2 linked regions of the Arabidopsis thaliana genome follow. The protein of the gene in region 1 interacts with the protein of each later gene in a pairwise test. Each region holds a gene or a part of one and is shown in the gene's direction. Other genes may lie near its edges. The genes, in order: AT1G75990 and DSS1(V).

Region 1 (5,172 bases):
GGTCCTCCGAATGAGTATGATGCACCACAAGATGGAGGTTACGGTTACGATGCTCCTCATGAACACCGTGGATATGATGACCGTGGTGGTTATGATGCCCCTCCTCAGGGCCGTGGTGGTTACGATGGTCCTCAGGGTCGCGGTGGTTACGATGGTCCTCAGGGTCGCCGTGGTTATGATGGTCCTCCTCAGGGCCGTGGTGGTTATGATGGTCCTTCTCAAGGCCGTGGTGGTTATGATGGTCCTTCTCAGGGCCGTGGTGGTTATGATGGTCCTTCTCAGGGCCGTGGTGGTTATGATGGTCCTCAGGGTCGTGGTAAAATAAATTAAAACATTCTGTATTCTTTTACCTGGTTCTTGAACTGTAATTGTGTGAAGAAGCCATGAGTTTTGAATTGGTTTGATGCAGGGCGTGGACGTGGACGTGGAAGGGGAGGACGTGGAAGAGGAGGAGGACGTGGTGGTGATGGTGGTTTCAACAACAGATCAGATGGACCACCAGTCCAGGCAGCTGCTTGAGAGTGAGGTTTCTCTTACACAAACATAAAAAGAAGAAAAAAGCCCAAGTCGTTGGATGTTTTTTTTCTATCTCCTTGTTCTCTCACTTTCTTTCTATGTTTGCTTCTTCTGTCCATCAAGAAGACATGTTTGCCATAAGTGTATCTCATTCCCCTTCTTTTTTTTTTACTATCCATTGATTGACAGTGTTTTAGCTTGTGGTCTGTTTTGTTTAGAGTCGCTTAGGAATATATGTTCAATTTATTTTATGGTTGGTCGTCGTCTTGGGTTTTTGTTAGAGAAGAACTACTGAGGCATCCTCTTTTCTTTTCTTTTTTCCTCTGTTTTGTAGTTTTGTTTAGGTGAGAGTGAGACACAGTTTGGACAAATTACCTCTTTTCTTTGGTTATCAGTTTTAATGTGATGGAACAGTTGATTCTTTTATTTCCAACAAGTACCCTTGCAAAGTTGAATTCTTATATAACATTATAACGAAAATAACTCACAAATGGAAGCAGATTTACACAGAGAGAGAAAAAAAATGGAAGTAGAAAGCCAGAAACCATCGATTCTCGAATTTGGGTTGATCTTCAAAATTCTAATGAGACAGACACAACAAAGGAAAGGAAGCTCATAGACTCGTCGACACCGTATTAACAATAGATTTACTCGATAAAAAAATGTTAGCGCCGTTGCCGGGGATCGAACCCGGGTCACCCGCGTGACAGGCGGGAATACTTACCACTATACTACAACGACTTTGATGTTCTAATTAATGACATTAATAGTATTAACAAACAAGATAATATCTGCCTTCAAGGGAAAGAAAAAAATAAAATGGAAAAATATAATTGGGAAAAATGTTGTTTTATATACGAACTTTCAAAAAGTGGCCATTTTATACGTGAACTCTGACGTCGGCCAAAATAAATATGAAAAATACGTTGACCAGCCATTTTAACAGAAACAAAACGTTGACCTGGCCAAAATCCCGAGACGTTAACTCGCATTAACAGACCCAATTAACCCCGTTAACAGCACGTTAATAAACTCTGTTAAAGCCGAAACGGTGTCGTTTTGTTCTAAACGAAACAAAACAAAATCCCCAAATCGAAAACTCAAACCCTAAGTCTTCATCTTCCCCAAATCGATTTCTTATATCCAACTTCTCTCAATCTATCTTCTTTGAGCTTCAACTCCGACAGAAGACTCTGCTACAACAACAGCCGGCAAAGCTAGAACTCCACCATCAAACTCCATCTCCGGTTTCAGCTACTCGTCGTGGTGGAACAGGAGCAATGTCGACTTCGCCTTCTATTGCTAAGGCAATCACAACAAGATTAATCGAAGAACAAACACGATTTTACCAATGAGAGAATTAGGGATTTGGTTTGAGAGAATTAGGGATTGAGTTTTCGATTTGGGCATTTTGATTTGTTTCGTTAGGTTTGAAACGACGGCGTTTTGGTCTTAACAGAATTCATTAACGTTCTCTTAACGGGGTTAATCAGCGAGTTAACGTCTCGGGATTTTGGCGAGGTCAACATTTTGTTTCTGTTAAAATGGCTGGTCAACGTATTTTTCATGTTTATTTTGGCCGACGTCAGAGTTCACGTATAGAATAGCTACTTTTTGAAAGTTCGCGTATAAAACAACATTTTTCCCAAATATAATTTGGTAATTTCTGTCTAGGAAAAGAAAAAGGAAAACATAAGAGTACTTATGTGTGCGTTAAGCCCTGCTCTTTTCAAATCAATTTTTAATTTACCTTCGTCAAGAAGAAGACGACTTGAGATTTGCGAAAAAGATGACTCAGGACGTAGAGATGAAAGATAACCAAACCCCAACGCAATCCGTCGTCTCTGCTCCTACCTCCACGCTACAGAGTAAATCTCTATCTTATGCTTCAGTTTCTCTTAATCTCACATTGCTAGGTTTGTTTCAAAATTGAATTCGTTGTACTGCTTTTTTTTTTCTCCAGATTTGAAGGAGATTGCAGCTCTGATTGATACTGGATCTTATACAAAGGAAGTCCGTCGTATTGCTCGTGCTGTGCGTCTCACCGTTGGACTACGAAGGAAGCTCACGGGTTCCGTGATCTCTTCTTTCCTTGATTTCGCTTTGGTTCCTGGATCTGAAGCTCACACTCGTCTCTCTTCTTTTGTGCCGAAGGTATGTGTAGCTTCACTTGTCCACTTTGATTACGAGCTTATCTAGGATCTGTAATTAGATTCATGTATTAGTGTTTGCCCTTAATTTGATGGAATTTATAATATTGGTACAGAGTGATGAACATGACATGGAAGTTGATACAGCATCATCGAATTCCCAAGCTCCTCCTAAGCATCTACCTGCAGAGCTCGAGATTTACTGCTACTTCATTGTTCTTCTTTTTCTCATTGATCAGAAAAAGTACAACGAGGTTTACTTCTTCTCTATCTCTCTAACTGACATACTTTATTTATAAATCTTGCTGTGGTCTTCATTGTTTTACTTTCTTTGCTTTCAGGCCAAAGTTTGTTCTACCGCTAGCATTGCTCGCCTCAAAAGCGTAAACAGGAGAACCGTTGATGTCATTGCTTCCAAATTGTATTTTTACTACTCCTTAAGTTACGAGCTAACTAATGATCTTGCAGAGATACGTAGGTGAGTACAAGTTCACAGTCATCTTTCAACTTTTATCATATTAGTTCAACACTCAATTATCTTATTAACTTGTCTCTCTTTCTGTTGCAGTACTCTTCTTGCTCTTCACCATTCGGCCACACTGCGCCACGACGAATTGGGCCAGGAAACACTTTTGAATCTGTTGCTTCGCAATTATCTACACTACAACCTGTACGACCAAGCAGAGAAGTTGAGATCAAAAGCGCCTCGATTTGAGGCACACTCTAACCAACAGGTAACCCTTTCATACATTCTAGTTTCTAATTCTAAGTTAATTGTGATGCTTACTTATGCCAACCTCTCTGATGCTTACTAATGCCAACTTTTCACTGTGAATTTCTCCAAACTACATTCACATGTTTCAACTAGAAACGATACTCATCTCGTTATATAAATTTACAGTTTTGTAGGTACTTGTTTTACCTTGGCAAGATCAGGACGATTCAACTTGAGTACACCGATGCAAAAGAGAGTCTCCTCCAAGCTGCTAGGAAAGCACCTGTTGCATCTCTGGGATTCAGAATCCAGTGCAACAAGTGGGCTATCATAGTTCGGCTGTTGTTGGGTGAAATACCTGAACGATCTATCTTCACTCAGAAAGGAATGGAGAAGACTCTTAGGCCATATTTTGAGCTGACCAACGTGAGTTCAATCTTTTTTACATTTCTAACATATGCTTTAATTAAGGTTTTCTTGCTAATACTCTTGTTTAAATTTTGTAAGGCTGTGAGAATTGGTGACTTGGAGCTGTTCGGGAAAATCCAAGAGAAGTTTGCCAAAACATTTGCGGAAGACAGGACTCACAACCTCATAGTCAGACTCCGACACAACGTGATCAGAACAGGACTGCGCAACATCAGCATTTCCTACTCCAGAATCTCTCTACAGGATGTTGCTCAAAAGCTGAGACTGAACTCAGCGAACCCAGTGGCTGATGCAGAAAGCATCGTCGCTAAAGCCATTAGAGATGGAGCAATCGACGCAACCATCGACCACAAGAACGGTTGTATGGTCTCCAAGGAAACAGGAGACATCTACTCCACTAATGAACCACAGACTGCGTTTAACTCGAGGATTGCCTTCTGTTTGAATATGCACAATGAAGCGGTTAGAGCACTGAGGTTCCCGCCAAACACGCACAGGGAGAAAGAGAGCGAGGAGAAAAGAAGGGAGATGAAACAGCAAGAAGAGGAGCTCGCTAAATACATGGCTGAGGAAGACGATGATGATTTCTAGATTTGTTTCAAATTCTACTGTTTTTGTCTGTTAACACTTTTGTTATTTTGAATTATCTGACTTTTTCTTGTTATTATGCACATCAGTTCTTTTACTTTATGAAAAAACAAAATCTCAAACTTTATCACAAGTCCACATTGGGATCAAAATTCTGGTAAATAAATTCACTGAAGAAGTGAAGTTAGTAATATAGAAGAACATGAACATGATTCAAACCCAAGATCAGTAGATGGGCCTTTAGGCCCATTAGTTATGTAATTACAAATCGGCGAAGTAACTCCGATTGTTTTTTCGCCGTCAAAGGTTAAACAGTCGAAACAATGGAGATTCTGAAGCTTGATGTAGCGAAGTTTCCAGAAATTGAGGATACAATCGAATTAACTAACCCAAAGAGAAACGACGAAGTAGAAGATTGCGACGACCAACAGAAGCAGCAGCTAGCTACACAAGAAGATGAAGAGGAAGACGAATTGAGAAAGCTTCTGCTTTCAGATATTGGAGAACTTCCGATTTCTCCTCCTTCAGCTACACAAGTCAATTTTGTTTCTTACTTCATCACAGGTTCTCAGATTCACCTACTGTTTAGTGTTTTTCAAAACCCCTTTTGATAGTGTGAAGTGAATTAAACCCTTTTCAATGTTTTTGCAGATTTTACTAAATCGGGTCATGATCAATATATTTACCGTCACGCTAATGGGTATGTCAAAGATTGTTCCTTTTGCTGTTGAAATGATGAAATTGGTTTTCTTCTTACTTGTGTGTTTGTTTGTT
Region 2 (3,910 bases), on another chromosome or scaffold:
AAAGAAGACAAGTTGACTCATATACCTCATCAAATCTTATGAGAGTGACGAATAATCGGATATCTGCTTCAGTGAAAGTGTTTCCGCAGATGTATCGTTGTTTTCCGAGTACTTCCTCACATCTATCTACTGCTTCATATAACTGGTTCACTGCCTGGAGAGAAAAGGGATCAATTTTTGAATCCCTGTTCAAATGTTTAAGACATTGAGGGATATATACCTCATTATAGGGTTCTTGTTTCCTTGCAAACCCACATTTATAAACACCGTTGTTTATTCCGTTGAAAACCCATCCGTTAGTCTCGTTGATTACGTCTCTGAGATGAGAAGGATAAAGGTCAAGTGACGGGGTTTTCGCAATACCATTGAACTCAGTGTTGAACATCCGGATTATCTCTGAACTCTCATTGTTAACAACAGTCTTAAGCTTCTTATCCCAAAGAACCTAACATAATAACAAAACAAACATTCAAGAAACAGGACAAAGAAAGATTAAAGAGTTCACCAAAGAGATCAAAACTTACAGGAACAGTGTACTTCCCTTCATAGTTTGGGCTAGCAATCTCGTAGAGTTCTCTCACACTTTTGGCACCATTAAGATAGTCAGGCTCAGCTCCAGGGAGCTCGGTATCCGAATCCGGGAAAACCCATCCTCTATGATCATCAGTTTCCTTGGTTCTTCCCCAAATGGCATGAACCGACTAATCAAATCAAATAAAACAGAAATGCTTCAGGTTAACAAAGTCTTCTAATTCGATATGAGCAATGAATTTGTACTAACCGAGAAGGTGATTGCTTCATCAAGTCCTTTGATCTTTAAGTAAGAAAGACATCTACAAGCCCATGGACAAGCATAAGATATGTAAAGATGGTATCTTCCTGATTCAGCTGGAAACTGAGAATCAGGATCTTGTGAAACAAAGTTGCGGAATGTTGATGCTGTTCTTACAAAAGCTCCAGATTCTGATGTCTCATCAACCCCAGACCTAGCCATTTTGCTACTAATAAAAAATCAAACACGAAAATTCACATGACAAACGAAAAGAATAAAAATTTCAGAATGCACAATTTTTCTTTTTCACCTCAATAGAGTGAGTAAAGTTGAAAACTTTGAGAGATTTCTTATAGATGGTCACTTGTCACATAATCAATCTCAATTTTCTCTAGGTAAAGGATCACAGGAAACGAATCAAAGCATCAAAAAGTTCAGAAATTTCGAGTAGGGTTTTACTTAATTATCTCATTAGAGCTAGAAAAAGGTTAAAATAAAATGTTCATAATTCATAGCCTTCAAATATGATTTTCAACATTTATGGATCATTGGGCCAAAATCAAACCCAGAACTCAGAAAATGTCTAACAAGAACATGATTCATGCAGAGAAGAAGATAAGAGACAAAACCTGTTGACGACGATGTTATGTATTTGGCGTCGAATGTCGCTGTTTTGTGGCGATAAGGTTAAAGAAGAAAAAGTGAGCTTTAAGGAAAAATGGTAATGAGGGATGTCATCTTATAGTGAAAGAGAAGGAATCCGAAAAAGGACTTTGCTTTGTCTTCACTGCTCTGTCACGCCTAGCGAGTTAACTCAGACTAACGAGTTGACTCAGCTGGGTTCTGTGGGGAAAGCGTGACAACTTTTGGACCGGTTTGTATGTCATGGATTTGGTCAAGACGAATGCGACTATTGGACCGGTCTAAAACAGCTTCTTTTAAACCTCAATCGGATATTTTTAATATTGGGTCGGATTCGGTATGAATCATATAAGATTCGGGTCGGATTCGGTATGAATCATATAAGATTCGGGTCGGTTATTGGAAATTGGTAATTTTCCCCTTCTTCAAGTTAGACCCAAAACGAAAAAAAGGTTCGTTTAAAGAGCTCTGGTTGGGTTTAACTTGGAGGAATTAATCGAGTTTGGTGATCTTCTTCTTAGGTTTTTTTCTCGATCTGGTTGATTTGCTTAAACATCTGTAACTATGGCGGCAGAACCCAAGGCAGCTGTCGAAGTGGTGAAGGTGGATCTATTCGAGGACGACGATGAGTTCGAGGAATTTGAAATCAACGAAGGTGATTTTTTTGTTTTATACTAATTGCTTCTTTGATTTTCGAAATTGATTCATCATCGGTTATAAAATTAATGGAGATAAGAGCAAATTTCATTAGCAACTGATTTGGTGATTGATTAGGTTTTGGTATAAATACAAATTTTGATTCTGCACTGTCTTATACAAACTAAGATAGTCTCTATTGTATGAAGTTGGGTAGTTCTGATGCGAAAACGGATCTGTTTGATATATGTTTATGATGATGAAGCTACGGTCTCATAAACTTGATGGATAATAGTGCAGTTTTATGAGCAAACTACTGGTGATTATGTTTGCATTATTAATCGGCAAGGCTTCATGAGCTAAAGGGCCTAAAGGTTATGGTGGATTTAGGAATTATTTGGGGGCATTGAGTAGCTTGGGGGAGAGTTGTACAATTCAACTTAAGCTAGGATCAGTTTCTGATTTTAACAGATTTTGCTTTGCAATGTTAGTTCAGTCTTGAGATTTAACAAATAGCTTTATTGAAAGAATTGATAAAGATGGATATTTTTATTGTTATGTTTGGCAGATTGGTTGGAGAAAGAGGAAGTGAAGGAAGTTAGCCTGCAGTGGGAAGATGACTGGGATGATGATGATGTCAGTGACGACTTCTCGCGTCAGTTAAAGAAGGAGCTTGAGAATGCTAGTGAGAAGAAATGAGGTCCAAGATTGCGAGAAAGGCAGGTCTTCTCATTTAGGGAACCTTGGCTTTTTTGTTTGAATTGCATCCTTTGGTTTATCGTAGCATGTATCGGTTCTCCTTTTCCTTTACACATTATACTCTTCCTTGGATGCAAATTTCTCGTCTTTGAAGATGATAAATTTGAGCTGATAGTAATTCTATTCTGATAATCACCATCTTCTCTCAACACAGTGCGGTGTGGACATGGATTGGTTTACTATGTACATCACAAAATAACCGTAGAGATAACATTCAAATAGACATAGCTGATGTGCGTCACAACATTACATATAGTGTTAGCGTCCACAAGCCAGAAGCGAGAAAACATCATTTTGTTTCTAATATTAACATAAAATCTTGTGCAAGACAACAACCAAAAACGGAAAGCCTAATAACAACTTACCAATTTTCAAAAAGTTCACATCAGGCATAGGCATAGGGTATATGAAGACAGCAAAGATAAATGTAGCAGTCAAAGCCCTCAAGAAAACTTCTCCAATACCTAATTTTCTTCTTCTTCTTCTTCTTTGGAGAGTTTGGTAGTAATCTTGTAACCTCTTTAACAATGGCACCGACAAGAGCAAATTCGTTCCTGCAAAATGAGTGAAAGAAACTGATTAGACGACCTTACCACAAAGTCGATCTTACTACAAAACAAGAGTTCTATTAAATATTCTATTACATGTGTGCTTCCAAGCTCAAGCCAATCCTCCCTGTAACAGTAGATGACTTCAAGGATTTTTCCCAACTTTCAACCATCATTGGTTCCATAGCAAATCTCTCTTTTGTGTTTCTAAAATGTATTCCAAACTCTCCCTCAAGTCTTCTCACTTCGTTTGTTTTCACACTGTAGAAGACTGGAATGACCACGAGTTTTCCTTCCTTGGCAAGCTCTTCCATCTTCACAAGCTCGTTCAAACACCGATATGACTCAGAATACCTCTTTGAGAAGATGGCAAGCGCGATATTCGAGTTCTCTATACTCATGAACACTTCTTGTTTTTGTCCACTTCCTATAAGCTTGAAGCTGTCTTTGAAGACATTGATCCCTGAGTCTCTCAAAGCCCACACGAGATGTTTAATAAAGTTGTCGCCAAGCTCGTCATTGCAGAAATTGACAAACACTTGTGGGCGACGTG

What was found.
Region 2: the proteins of AT1G75990 (region 1) and DSS1(V) interact in a two-hybrid assay, tested with the Arabidopsis thaliana proteins (one study listed by BioGRID).

What each region holds. Positions count from the first base shown.
Region 1 is NC_003070.9:28,523,852-28,529,023, reverse strand, and holds AT1G75990 (PAM domain (PCI/PINT associated module) protein), read left to right. Parts: upstream 1-2,175; 5' UTR 2,176-2,305; coding exon 2,306-2,384; intron 2,385-2,479; coding exon 2,480-2,670; intron 2,671-2,782; coding exon 2,783-2,920; intron 2,921-3,007; coding exon 3,008-3,144; intron 3,145-3,234; coding exon 3,235-3,400; intron 3,401-3,567; coding exon 3,568-3,807; intron 3,808-3,888; coding exon 3,889-4,401; 3' UTR 4,402-4,620; downstream 4,621-5,172. Other genes in the region: AT1G76010 (Alba DNA/RNA-binding protein), read left to right, coding at 1-316, 410-519; AT1G75980 (Single hybrid motif superfamily protein), read left to right, coding at 4,722-4,962, 5,050-5,098. UniProt on the Arabidopsis thaliana protein: Acts as a regulatory subunit of the 26 proteasome which is involved in the ATP-dependent degradation of ubiquitinated proteins.
Region 2 is NC_003076.8:18,166,290-18,170,199, reverse strand, and holds DSS1(V) (DSS1 homolog on chromosome V), read left to right. Parts: upstream 1-1,816; 5' UTR 1,817-1,978; coding exon 1,979-2,069; intron 2,070-2,618; coding exon 2,619-2,749; 3' UTR 2,750-3,194; downstream 3,195-3,910. Other genes in the region: AT5G45020 (Glutathione S-transferase family protein), read right to left, coding at 26-154, 221-445, 525-701, 782-994; AT5G45000 (Disease resistance protein (TIR-NBS-LRR class) family), read right to left, coding at 3,195-3,363, 3,454-3,910. UniProt on the Arabidopsis thaliana protein: Subunit of the 26S proteasome which plays a role in ubiquitin-dependent proteolysis. Also associates with the TREX-2 complex that is required for transcription-coupled mRNA export.